Caenorhabditis elegans: one gene and its partner. The protein of the gene in region 1 purifies or fractionates together with the protein of each later gene. This does not show direct contact. Each region holds a gene or a part of one and is shown in the gene's direction. Other genes may lie near its edges. The genes, in order: knl-2 and hcp-3.

Evidence for each region.
Region 2: the proteins of knl-2 (region 1) and hcp-3 purify together in Caenorhabditis elegans (affinity purification with western blotting, with the first as the bait; one study listed by BioGRID). This does not show direct contact.

What each region holds. Positions count from the first base shown.
Region 1 is NC_003279.8:6,459,050-6,464,790, forward strand, and holds knl-2 (Kinetochore null protein 2), read left to right. Parts: upstream 1-1,828; 5' UTR 1,829-1,941; coding exon 1,942-2,025; intron 2,026-2,073; coding exon 2,074-2,160; intron 2,161-2,206; coding exon 2,207-2,770; intron 2,771-2,814; coding exon 2,815-3,297; intron 3,298-3,344; coding exon 3,345-3,479; intron 3,480-3,526; coding exon 3,527-3,880; intron 3,881-4,019; coding exon 4,020-4,642; intron 4,643-4,690; coding exon 4,691-4,838; intron 4,839-4,891; coding exon 4,892-5,047; 3' UTR 5,048-5,237; downstream 5,238-5,741. Other genes in the region: acdh-3 (Short/branched chain specific acyl-CoA dehydrogenase, mitochondrial), read right to left, coding at 5,249-5,569, 5,625-5,741. UniProt on the Caenorhabditis elegans protein: Required for the recruitment of hcp-3, hcp-4, knl-1, bub-1 and lin-53 to kinetochores, kinetochore assembly, chromosome condensation and chromosome segregation in meiosis and mitosis.
Region 2 is NC_003281.10:9,614,553-9,618,063, reverse strand, and holds hcp-3 (Histone H3-like centromeric protein hcp-3), read left to right. Parts: upstream 1-1,593; 5' UTR 1,594-1,610; coding exon 1,611-1,702; intron 1,703-1,753; coding exon 1,754-2,000; intron 2,001-2,048; coding exon 2,049-2,351; intron 2,352-2,403; coding exon 2,404-2,628; 3' UTR 2,629-2,758; downstream 2,759-3,511. Other genes in the region: F58A4.6 (DUF4807 domain-containing protein), read right to left, coding at 2,780-2,900, 2,949-3,094, 3,138-3,308, 3,358-3,485. UniProt on the Caenorhabditis elegans protein: Histone H3-like variant which exclusively replaces conventional H3 in the nucleosome core of centromeric chromatin at the inner plate of the kinetochore.

The sequences.
Region 1 (5,741 bases):
CAATAATTTGTGATGAAATATTTTAGGAACAGAAATGAACATATTAATTGATATAAAAACAATAGGAACACTAACTCATAATTATGATAGGTGAATATCAAAATGTGCTAGATTTTTTGAAGTTAAAAAATACATTTCTAATATTTTTTCAAATAATAAGTTTCAGCTGAAATTTCAGGGTGATTTCAGAAAGCTATGTTTTGATAAATTGTTTTGAAAATTAAAAGAAGCTACAGCAAAAAAAAATTAAAGAGAACATCGCTCCCTCGTAGTGTATAATTTTTGATTATCGAAAAAAATGAGTCAATGATGAAAAGGAAGTCGCAATCTCAAAACTTCAAAAATCAAAAGAAGCCGTTGCCTCTGTCATCAAAAATTCAGAAGACAAGGTTGTTGACAAGGGTCAATTCTCAGTGGTGGAGGGCATTGGGCGTGGTGAAATTTTTGAAGGCTAGTGTGGTTGGACCTCTACTAGATAGACAAAACCCCCGAAATAGACGTTTAATTTGATGAGATGGTGGAGAAAGAAAAGGACTCATTCTCTAGATGATAGAGAGACCAGAGATACAGACAAGAGAGGGCGCCTCGGCCGTATGTTGAATGGGAGATCGATGGAACCGAGACAACGAGAAAAGGAATAGAGACGGAGAAAGAGAGAGAGAGCGCGCGTTGTTGGAAGGATGAAAAAGAAAAAAGACATGAGCTGCTTCACAAGAGCTTGGCGAAAGCAAAGGGCAAAGTGTTGACAGCTTAGTGGTGGTAGTTGGATCATGTGTTTTTATGTTTCCGGTGGGAGAAGGTTCAACAAAAAATGAAAAGAAAAAGTTCAAGCGGCATGAATCATTCTGAGTTTAAAACAAAATTATTGCGAAAATTAATATTAAAACCTTTTCACAAAACTTCAAGCTAATCTGTTCATGAAAATTTGAATAATAGTTTTTTCCCACCTATTTAGAATTAACTTCATATTAACGAAATTAATTAACGAATCGAAAATTATGACTTTTCAGAATCATCTGAAGTTTTTTCACATTCCATGCTGCATGGAATAATTTGATCCTGGAATCGATATGTTTTTATGGTATACTTTTTAACCTTCAATTTAGCTGGAAAAGTATGGAATAAATAATTCCCGAAGCTATGTACATATATGTAGAATTATTGAATGATTGTGAGAACAACTTGACTTTAGCTTGAGTAGGAATCGGAATGGCTATCGACCGATCAACACTTAGGATTGTAAGAATGGCAGTAAGAATATATTGAAGAAAGAATGTTTGTTCATAGGAAGAGAAAGAGTATTGCGAAATCATCATCGCCCACTTTAGAATGGACGGGCGGTGAGCGGACATAGAGAATTGTGAATGACTAATGCTTTTGCAGAATCTAGGGCAAAATCGTAGGAACAAACAATTGTAATACGGAGAAAACAATCATATCGATCGATGATCATGGAGAAAAATGTGATTTAAGTGAGTAGACTTGGAAAAATTAATAAAAGCATGAATTGTCGATATTTTTCATTTATTTTCATTATAAAGCTCTTTAAAAACAAATTAAATATTGAGAATGGCTTCGAAGAATATTGTTTCAAATATGTTCAATGGTGACACCTTGCGGATAAAATTAATGTAAAAATCATGGAACACAGATTCACTGATATCTCATTATCTCAAGCAGTGTAATTAGAGATTTTTTGGAACAATTATTTTATAAAACTATAAATAAACCGTTTATACTACTCAAAGCCAAATATTCAAGCTATTACCATTTTTTTTCTAACTAATTCTTGAGCAATTAAAGTATTCCCCAGTTTTTATTTTGCAACGACTCCAGGCAAACACGCTCCGTTGCACTTGCCGCCAAGGCGTTGCATTCAAATCAGAGAGACATCTCATTCCGATTTCTGTTTTTCTTCCAATAAACGGTATTTTATGCCTAATGGGTGATACGGAAATTGTTCCTCTTCGAGTACAAAATGTACTTGATAGCGAAATCATTCGTCTCAACTTGTGGTCCATGAAGGTAACTGTCTAGTTTTTTTAAGTTTTCATGATTTCAATATTTTTACAGTTTAACGCGACCAGTTTCAAACTCGAAGGTTTTGTGAGAAATGAAGAAGGCACTATGATGCAGAAAGTTTGTTCCGAATTTATTTGTGTAAGTCGAGAAACATATTCGTCAACAATTTTCATTAAATATTCAGAGACGCTTCACTTCTACGTTGCTTTTCGATGTTTCCGGACGTTTCTTCGACTTGGTCGGACAGATTGATCGGGAATATCAACAAAAAATGGGAATGCCTAGTAGAATTATTGATGAATTTTCAAATGGAATTCCTGAAAATTGGGCCGACCTTATCTATTCCTGCATGTCAGCCAACCAAAGAAGCGCACTTCGCCCTATCCAACAGGCTCCAAAAGAACCAATTAGAACTAGAACAGAACCAATTGTTACGTTGGCAGATGAAACCGAGCTAACTGGAGGATGCCAGAAAAATTCCGAAAACGAGAAAGAAAGGAACAGACGTGAGCGTGAAGAACAGCAAACAAAGGAACGTGAGAGAAGATTAGAAGAAGAAAAACAACGACGAGATGCTGAAGCTGAGGCTGAAAGAAGGCGAAAAGAAGAGGAAGAGCTGGAAGAAGCTAATTACACCCTTCGTGCTCCGAAATCTCAGAACGGCGAGCCAATCACTCCGATAAGATTCACACGGGGACACGACAATGGTGGCGCGAAAAAAGTATTCATCTTCGAGCAAACTCCAGTGGTAAGTAAAAATTTATGTTGGAAACAATATTTTGTCATCTTCAGAGAAAACAAGGTCCTATTGCTTCTTCAACGCCTCAACAAAAACAACGGTTGGCTGACGGGGCCAATAATCAAATTCCACCAACACAAAAATCTCAAGATAGCGTTCAAGCGGTACAACCACCACCACCGCGTCCAGCTGCACGGAATGCTCAGTTTGCATCGGATGCAGACTTGTTTGCGGTTCCAAAGGCTCCTCCATCCAAGAGTGTACGTAACTTAGCAGCTTCGAATGTCGACATATTCGCAGATGTTGACTCTGTTCTTGATACTTTTCATTTTGAAAGCACCCCAGGACGGGTACGAAAACCAGGAAGGCGGAATGTATCATCACCATCACCAGAACCACGCCATCGTTCTTCATCTAGAGACGGTTATGAACAATCTCGATACTCTCAGAGATACGAACATGATAACAGTAGATGGAGCAGACATAACGCCACATATCGCAGACACGAAGATGAATCAAGAATGAGTAGAAAAAGAGTTCGTATTAATCAGTTAATTTGTCATTGGTTTTAAAATTATTACAGAGCATCGTGCGTGATGATTTCGAGTACAGTCGCCGTCATGACGATGGTGCGAGGCGTAGAGATTATTATGATGCTGATATCCAAGGTGACTCGAAACGATACCGTGGAAGAGACGCGTCTTCTTCTTCTGGAAGAGTAAGTAAAAGAATATATGACGTTTTGAGGACATTCAATAATTTCAGTCTGTTCGTTTCGAAGAAGAACATCGTAGACATGGTGATGAATACAGAGATCCTAGAGGACCTCGTGATTACAATGACTATGGCAGACGGCGAAATCATGCAAACTCCAGAAGTGGCGAGGACGAAGAAAAATTGAATGCGATTGTACGTCGTGAGAAAGAATTACGGAATCGTCTTCAAAAATCACAAAAGGCGTCATCTTCATCATATCGTCATAGATCTAATTCGTCCGATGCTGAAGAGTCTTTAAATGAATGGGACATAGAAAACCAAGAGCTTCTGGATAATTCAATGATGTTTGGAGACGGAATACCAAAGAGAAGCAATGCGAGAAAGGATAAATTTGTGAAAAAGGTGAGTGGTTTTAATTATTTATTTGGTTAAACGACCGTGAAAAAAACCTGACAAATAATATTCATTTTCTAATTTGCTATTAGTCAAGATGCCTCCTGTATTACGTCCTCGTCGCAAGAAAATATCATATAGCTTTCAGCAGGCCACGCGCTCAAAACCGGCTAATTCAACTAAGTCACCAGCCCAAGCTCGCAAAAAGAAGAGAGCATCTTTGGAAGATAACCGTGATCTCAATGATAGTATAGCATGTAATCGTCCTCGTCGTTCTTGTGTAACTCCAGTTGCAAAGAAAATTACATGGAGAAAACAAGATCTGGATCGTTTGAAACGTGTGATTGCGTTGAAGAAGCCTTCTGCAAGTGATGCAGATTGGACAGAAGTTTTACGCCTCTTGGCAAAGGAAGGTGTCGTTGAACCAGAAGTAGTCAGACAGATTGCTATCACAAGACTCAAATGGGTAGAACCAGAGCAAAATGAAGAAGTGTTGAAACAAGTCGAAGAAGTTGAACAGAAAAGAAGACGTGGAGCTGTGGCCAGAGTGAAGGAAAATGTAAAGATGCATGAGGAACTGAGAGAAGGTGGAAATCATAGAGCTGAAGATCTGCAAAGTGGAGTTGAGTCAATGGAAGACTATCAACCAGAAGATGTGGCTGCTGATCAATCATTGCTCGCTCTCAGAACACCAATAGTTACAAAGAAGAGAGGAGGAACAAGAGCTTCAATTATGCCAAAACCTGTTGAAGACTCTCCAATGAGCAGAGGGTAAATTTATACAAAATAATTAGTTTTAAAAAAGCATTAATTTTTCAGAAACAATTCCACATTCAATTCACCGCGTCTAGAACAAACGAAGGCAAAGGATATTGAAACGAACTTCAAATACGTTCAGCACCTTTCCATGATGCAAGCGAGACCTAGTTCCAGACTGAAAAAGTCCTCATCTATGAACAACTCTACGGTAGGTTTAAAAAAGATTGGGAAATTTCATGCAAGCAACTAAATATCTTGCAGTATCGTGGTAACAAGAATACAAGTATTTCGTTAGAAAAGGGAACTCAGAAGGCGTTGAAAATTATTAATCGTGGAACAACAATACACGAAGACGACGAAAATGAAGACAATGATGACGATGATGATATGCGTGAAGAAGACACATCCATCTACTAATCTCTGTGCATGGAATTATTCTACTGCACTTATTCTTTATAACTGTAAATGATGAATTTTTCCTTTTTATACTAGTTTGGTAAAATATTAACTCGATACTAAGTTGCAAATTGTTCATTCTGAAAAATATAAACGAATAGAAATAAATACGTTCGATTGTTCACTACTGAAAACGCCGTAGGAGATGATTATTATAATCAATTAAGCCTTTTGTTGATATTCGATGTCAACGAGCTTGGCAATGGTATTGAGCTGAATGTTGGACGTTCCTTCGTAAATTGTTCCAATTTTTGAGTCGCGGTAGAATTTTTCAACTGGGAATTCCTTGGTGAATCCAACTCCTCCAAGCCATTCCACACATTTCGAAGTGGCTGTAGTGGCAACTTGTGATGCAAACAATTTGGCCATGGCTGCTTCACGAACGAATGGAAGTCCATTCTGCTTCATGCGAGCAGCGTTGTAGACCAGAAGACGAGCAGCTTCAATTTCCATTCGTGTTTGTCCGATTTGGTGTTGCATTCCCTGAAAATTTTTGATAATTACAATATTTTAATTTCAGTCTTTTGACAAATAATACCTGGAAATCTATAAGTCTCTGCCCGAACTGTTCTCTTTGTTGAAGATATGGAATTGTTTGATCGAAACAGCCTTGAGCCAATCCTAACATTTGTGCTCCGATTCCGATACGTCCAGC
Region 2 (3,511 bases), on another chromosome or scaffold:
ATGTAGAAAAGAGAGAGACAATACTGCAAAAGTGATATTGAAGAGGTTTCCGTGTGTGTGTGTGTGTTGGTGTTTTGAAAATTCTAAAGACACAGAATTGGAAAGGAAAATGAATCAACACGGAACACGTACACTTTTTTTTGGAAACAAGTTTAGTATTAACTTTGCAAAACATGTCATGTCTATCGTTCTATCGGGATAATGGTATTTGAAAAGAAATAAAAAATAAAGAAAGAAACCAATCAGCGTTTCCGGACTCCGCCCTTTTTGTCTGATTGGTGGAAAAGTGTGCGGAGCAATTTGCTAATTGGTATTGCAGTTCTTGTTTTGGAGGGAATTCAAATTCAAACAGAGCGATTAGCCGAATTTTTTGGCATTTTAGACTTTTTTGGTATTTTAAAATTATAAAAGTTGGCTTATATGTTTTCAACAAGCTTCGGAAAGCTCATCGAAATAAAATAGGTTTGCTAGTTACGAGCCTTTCCTGAATCACTTGGTGTCAGGATCAAGTGTTTCATTTTTCGATTTTTCGCTGTTTTGATGGGAAAAAACATGGAAAAAAGCGGTAATTGAGACGTAGTTTCCAACCATTGTCACTCGGTTAGCAGGCACACTTTTCCGGCCGAAAAATTTTTTGAATTTTTTTAATATCATATATAAAAAATCCTATTTAAAACTATAGATCAGTTATGAGACGTCTCATGAGACCACGTGATTCGAATTGAAAACTTGTGCTATGTCATTGCAGTAGACTCGGCTTATCGAACACTGGATTACCAGGTCCAAATATAAATTTATTATAATTTTTTTGCAGCGAAGTTTTAAGCGTTCTTCGATTATAAGAGAATATTAGCTCTAATTATTATTTCTAGACCTGCTTGAATAATCGCCTTCCGCGCAAGCGGAAGTTGCTGGCGCATCTCTCGTGTTACTTGCACATTTTAGTTTTTCAAAGCGCGCGGAAGCGCGAAAATTTGGTTTTTCTTTTCTAGAATTTTCTTTTGTCTGTTGATGGTGACTCTCAGATTATTGTCACCTAAAATTAGGAATTATTTTGATTTTTTTTCTTTTTTTTTCCTTTTTGTATCAGACTATTTTTACATTTTTGTGTGTTAAAGCTCCAGAGTGTCGTGAAAAACACCGAATCATTGTCTTCTCCGGCGAATATTTGTTTTTTCACTGCACTTTCCAAAGTTATCTCGATAAAAAATTATACAGCTAATCTCATATTATATATTATCGCTGTATGCGAGACACAGCCCAAGGCAGTCCAAGTTTCGTGAAGTTTTGATGGAATATTTATGAAGAATCGTTTTTTTTTCGAAAAAAACAACACAATTGTTCAATCAGCTGAACTAAATTTTTATAAGACCCAAATATTGATTAATTAGGCGACCCCCGGGGTTGAGTCCGTCATTTATGTTGTTTTGTGTGCACTTTAGCGTGATGTCGTCTGCGTATTTCCCTGCGTCTCTCGCCGCCAATCGTTACTTATTTAAACTGCGTTCGCATTTATTGCTTCTTTAATTCCTTTTTAACCTTCAAACAAATCGTCTTAATTTAGCTTCAGTTTTCTAAATTTTATATTTTATCAGGATAATCTTCGAACAATGGCCGATGACACCCCAATTATTGAGGAAATCGCCGAGCAAAATGAGAGCGTCACAAGGATCATGCAACGTCTCAAACATGACATGCAAAGGTAAGTGATGATTTTTGTTTTCGTGCTACAAATTAATGTCTGCTGTTTCAGAGTCACTTCAGTGCCGGGATTCAACACAAGCGCCGCAGGTGTCAACGATTTGATCGACATTCTGAACCAGTATAAGAAGGAGCTTGAGGATGATGCAGCCAACGACTACACTGAAGCGCACATCCACAAAATTCGATTGGTCACAGGCAAACGGAATCAATATGTCTTGAAGTTGAAGCAAGCCGAAGACGAATATCACGCGCGAAAAGAGCAAGCTCGGAGAAGAGCTTCGTCTATGGATTTCACGGTTAGTTTCAATTTTGTATGATTTCAAACAACATAAAATTTATTTCAGGTCGGCAGAAATTCCACGAATCTTGTCGATTACTCCCACGGCCGTCATCATATGCCCTCATACCGTCGACACGATAGCTCCGACGAAGAAAACTATTCTATGGATGGAACAAATGGCGATGGAAATAGAGCTGGCCCATCGAACCCCGATCGTGGTAATAGAACTGGCCCATCGAGCTCCGATCGCGTGCGGATGAGAGCCGGAAGGAACAGAGTCACCAAAACGAGACGTTATAGACCGGGCCAGAAGGCATTGGAAGAGATCCGCAAGTACCAAAAAACTGAAGACCTTCTGATTCAAAAGGTATACAATTTTTACTTTATTTAAACTATATTAAAACAATTCCAAATTTCAGGCTCCGTTCGCACGCCTCGTCCGCGAAATTATGCAGACTTCCACTCCATTTGGCGCCGACTGCCGTATTCGTTCTGACGCCATCAGTGCTCTTCAAGAAGCGGCGGAAGCATTTTTGGTCGAAATGTTCGAAGGATCGTCTCTTATATCCACCCATGCGAAACGTGTCACACTCATGACAACGGATATTCAGTTATACAGACGTCTCTGCCTTCGACATCTCTGATAACAATATTTGCAATACTCATTTTTCGATCTTCAAGCCATATTTATCTCATCAATTTTAGCGCTGTTTGATCTTTTGTGTACCGTGAACACGTTTACTATTTGTCAAATAATAAAGATTCATTACTTGTAAATGAGAACATTTTATTTAATCACTTGTTCGAACTAGCTTTTCCGAAAATATGAATAGCTCGAAGCTTCTGATAGACTCCTTCGCAGCATCTTTGTACAATATCCGTGTTCGGATTCTGTTTGGCCCAGTGATAAATTGCTCTGAAATTGACCACGTAAATAAGCCTTTTCTACTTTCAAGAATCCAACCTAACAATATTAACAGCATGCGAGAGATTTCCGAGTTGTGCTTCTGCGAGGGCGGTATACAGGTAGCATCGTGCAAGAATAACTGGATCTCCATATTTTTTCGCTAAGTTGATTTGATGAGCAGTAATTTTTGCAGCGACTTTCGCCTGAAAAGCTAGCGTTAAACTAAAGTGTAAACTGATAACTTACATAATTTGCATCGAAATCTCCCATAGCTGAATAAGCGCCACCTAGAGTAGACAAGTTCCACATGAGCTTTTCGAGATCAAGCATGTATCGGAAATGGTGTTTCAAACGTCTTTCCCAAGCATAATCGAGATTTTGTGCCGGATTTTTCACTTGGATGTTGACAAGAAGTTTCTGAAGCTTAAATATAATAACTTCTGGCAATAGAAGATAAATTAGTTACCTTATCGACGGGAATATTATAGAAGGCACGTATTTGAGCAAACGAATATTCTTCACGACACTGGAGAATATTCAAAAATCCGTACAAATCGTCCAAATTCGTGAATTCGAATACTAGTGATTGGGTACCTGCAATTATTTTATATTAATTAATT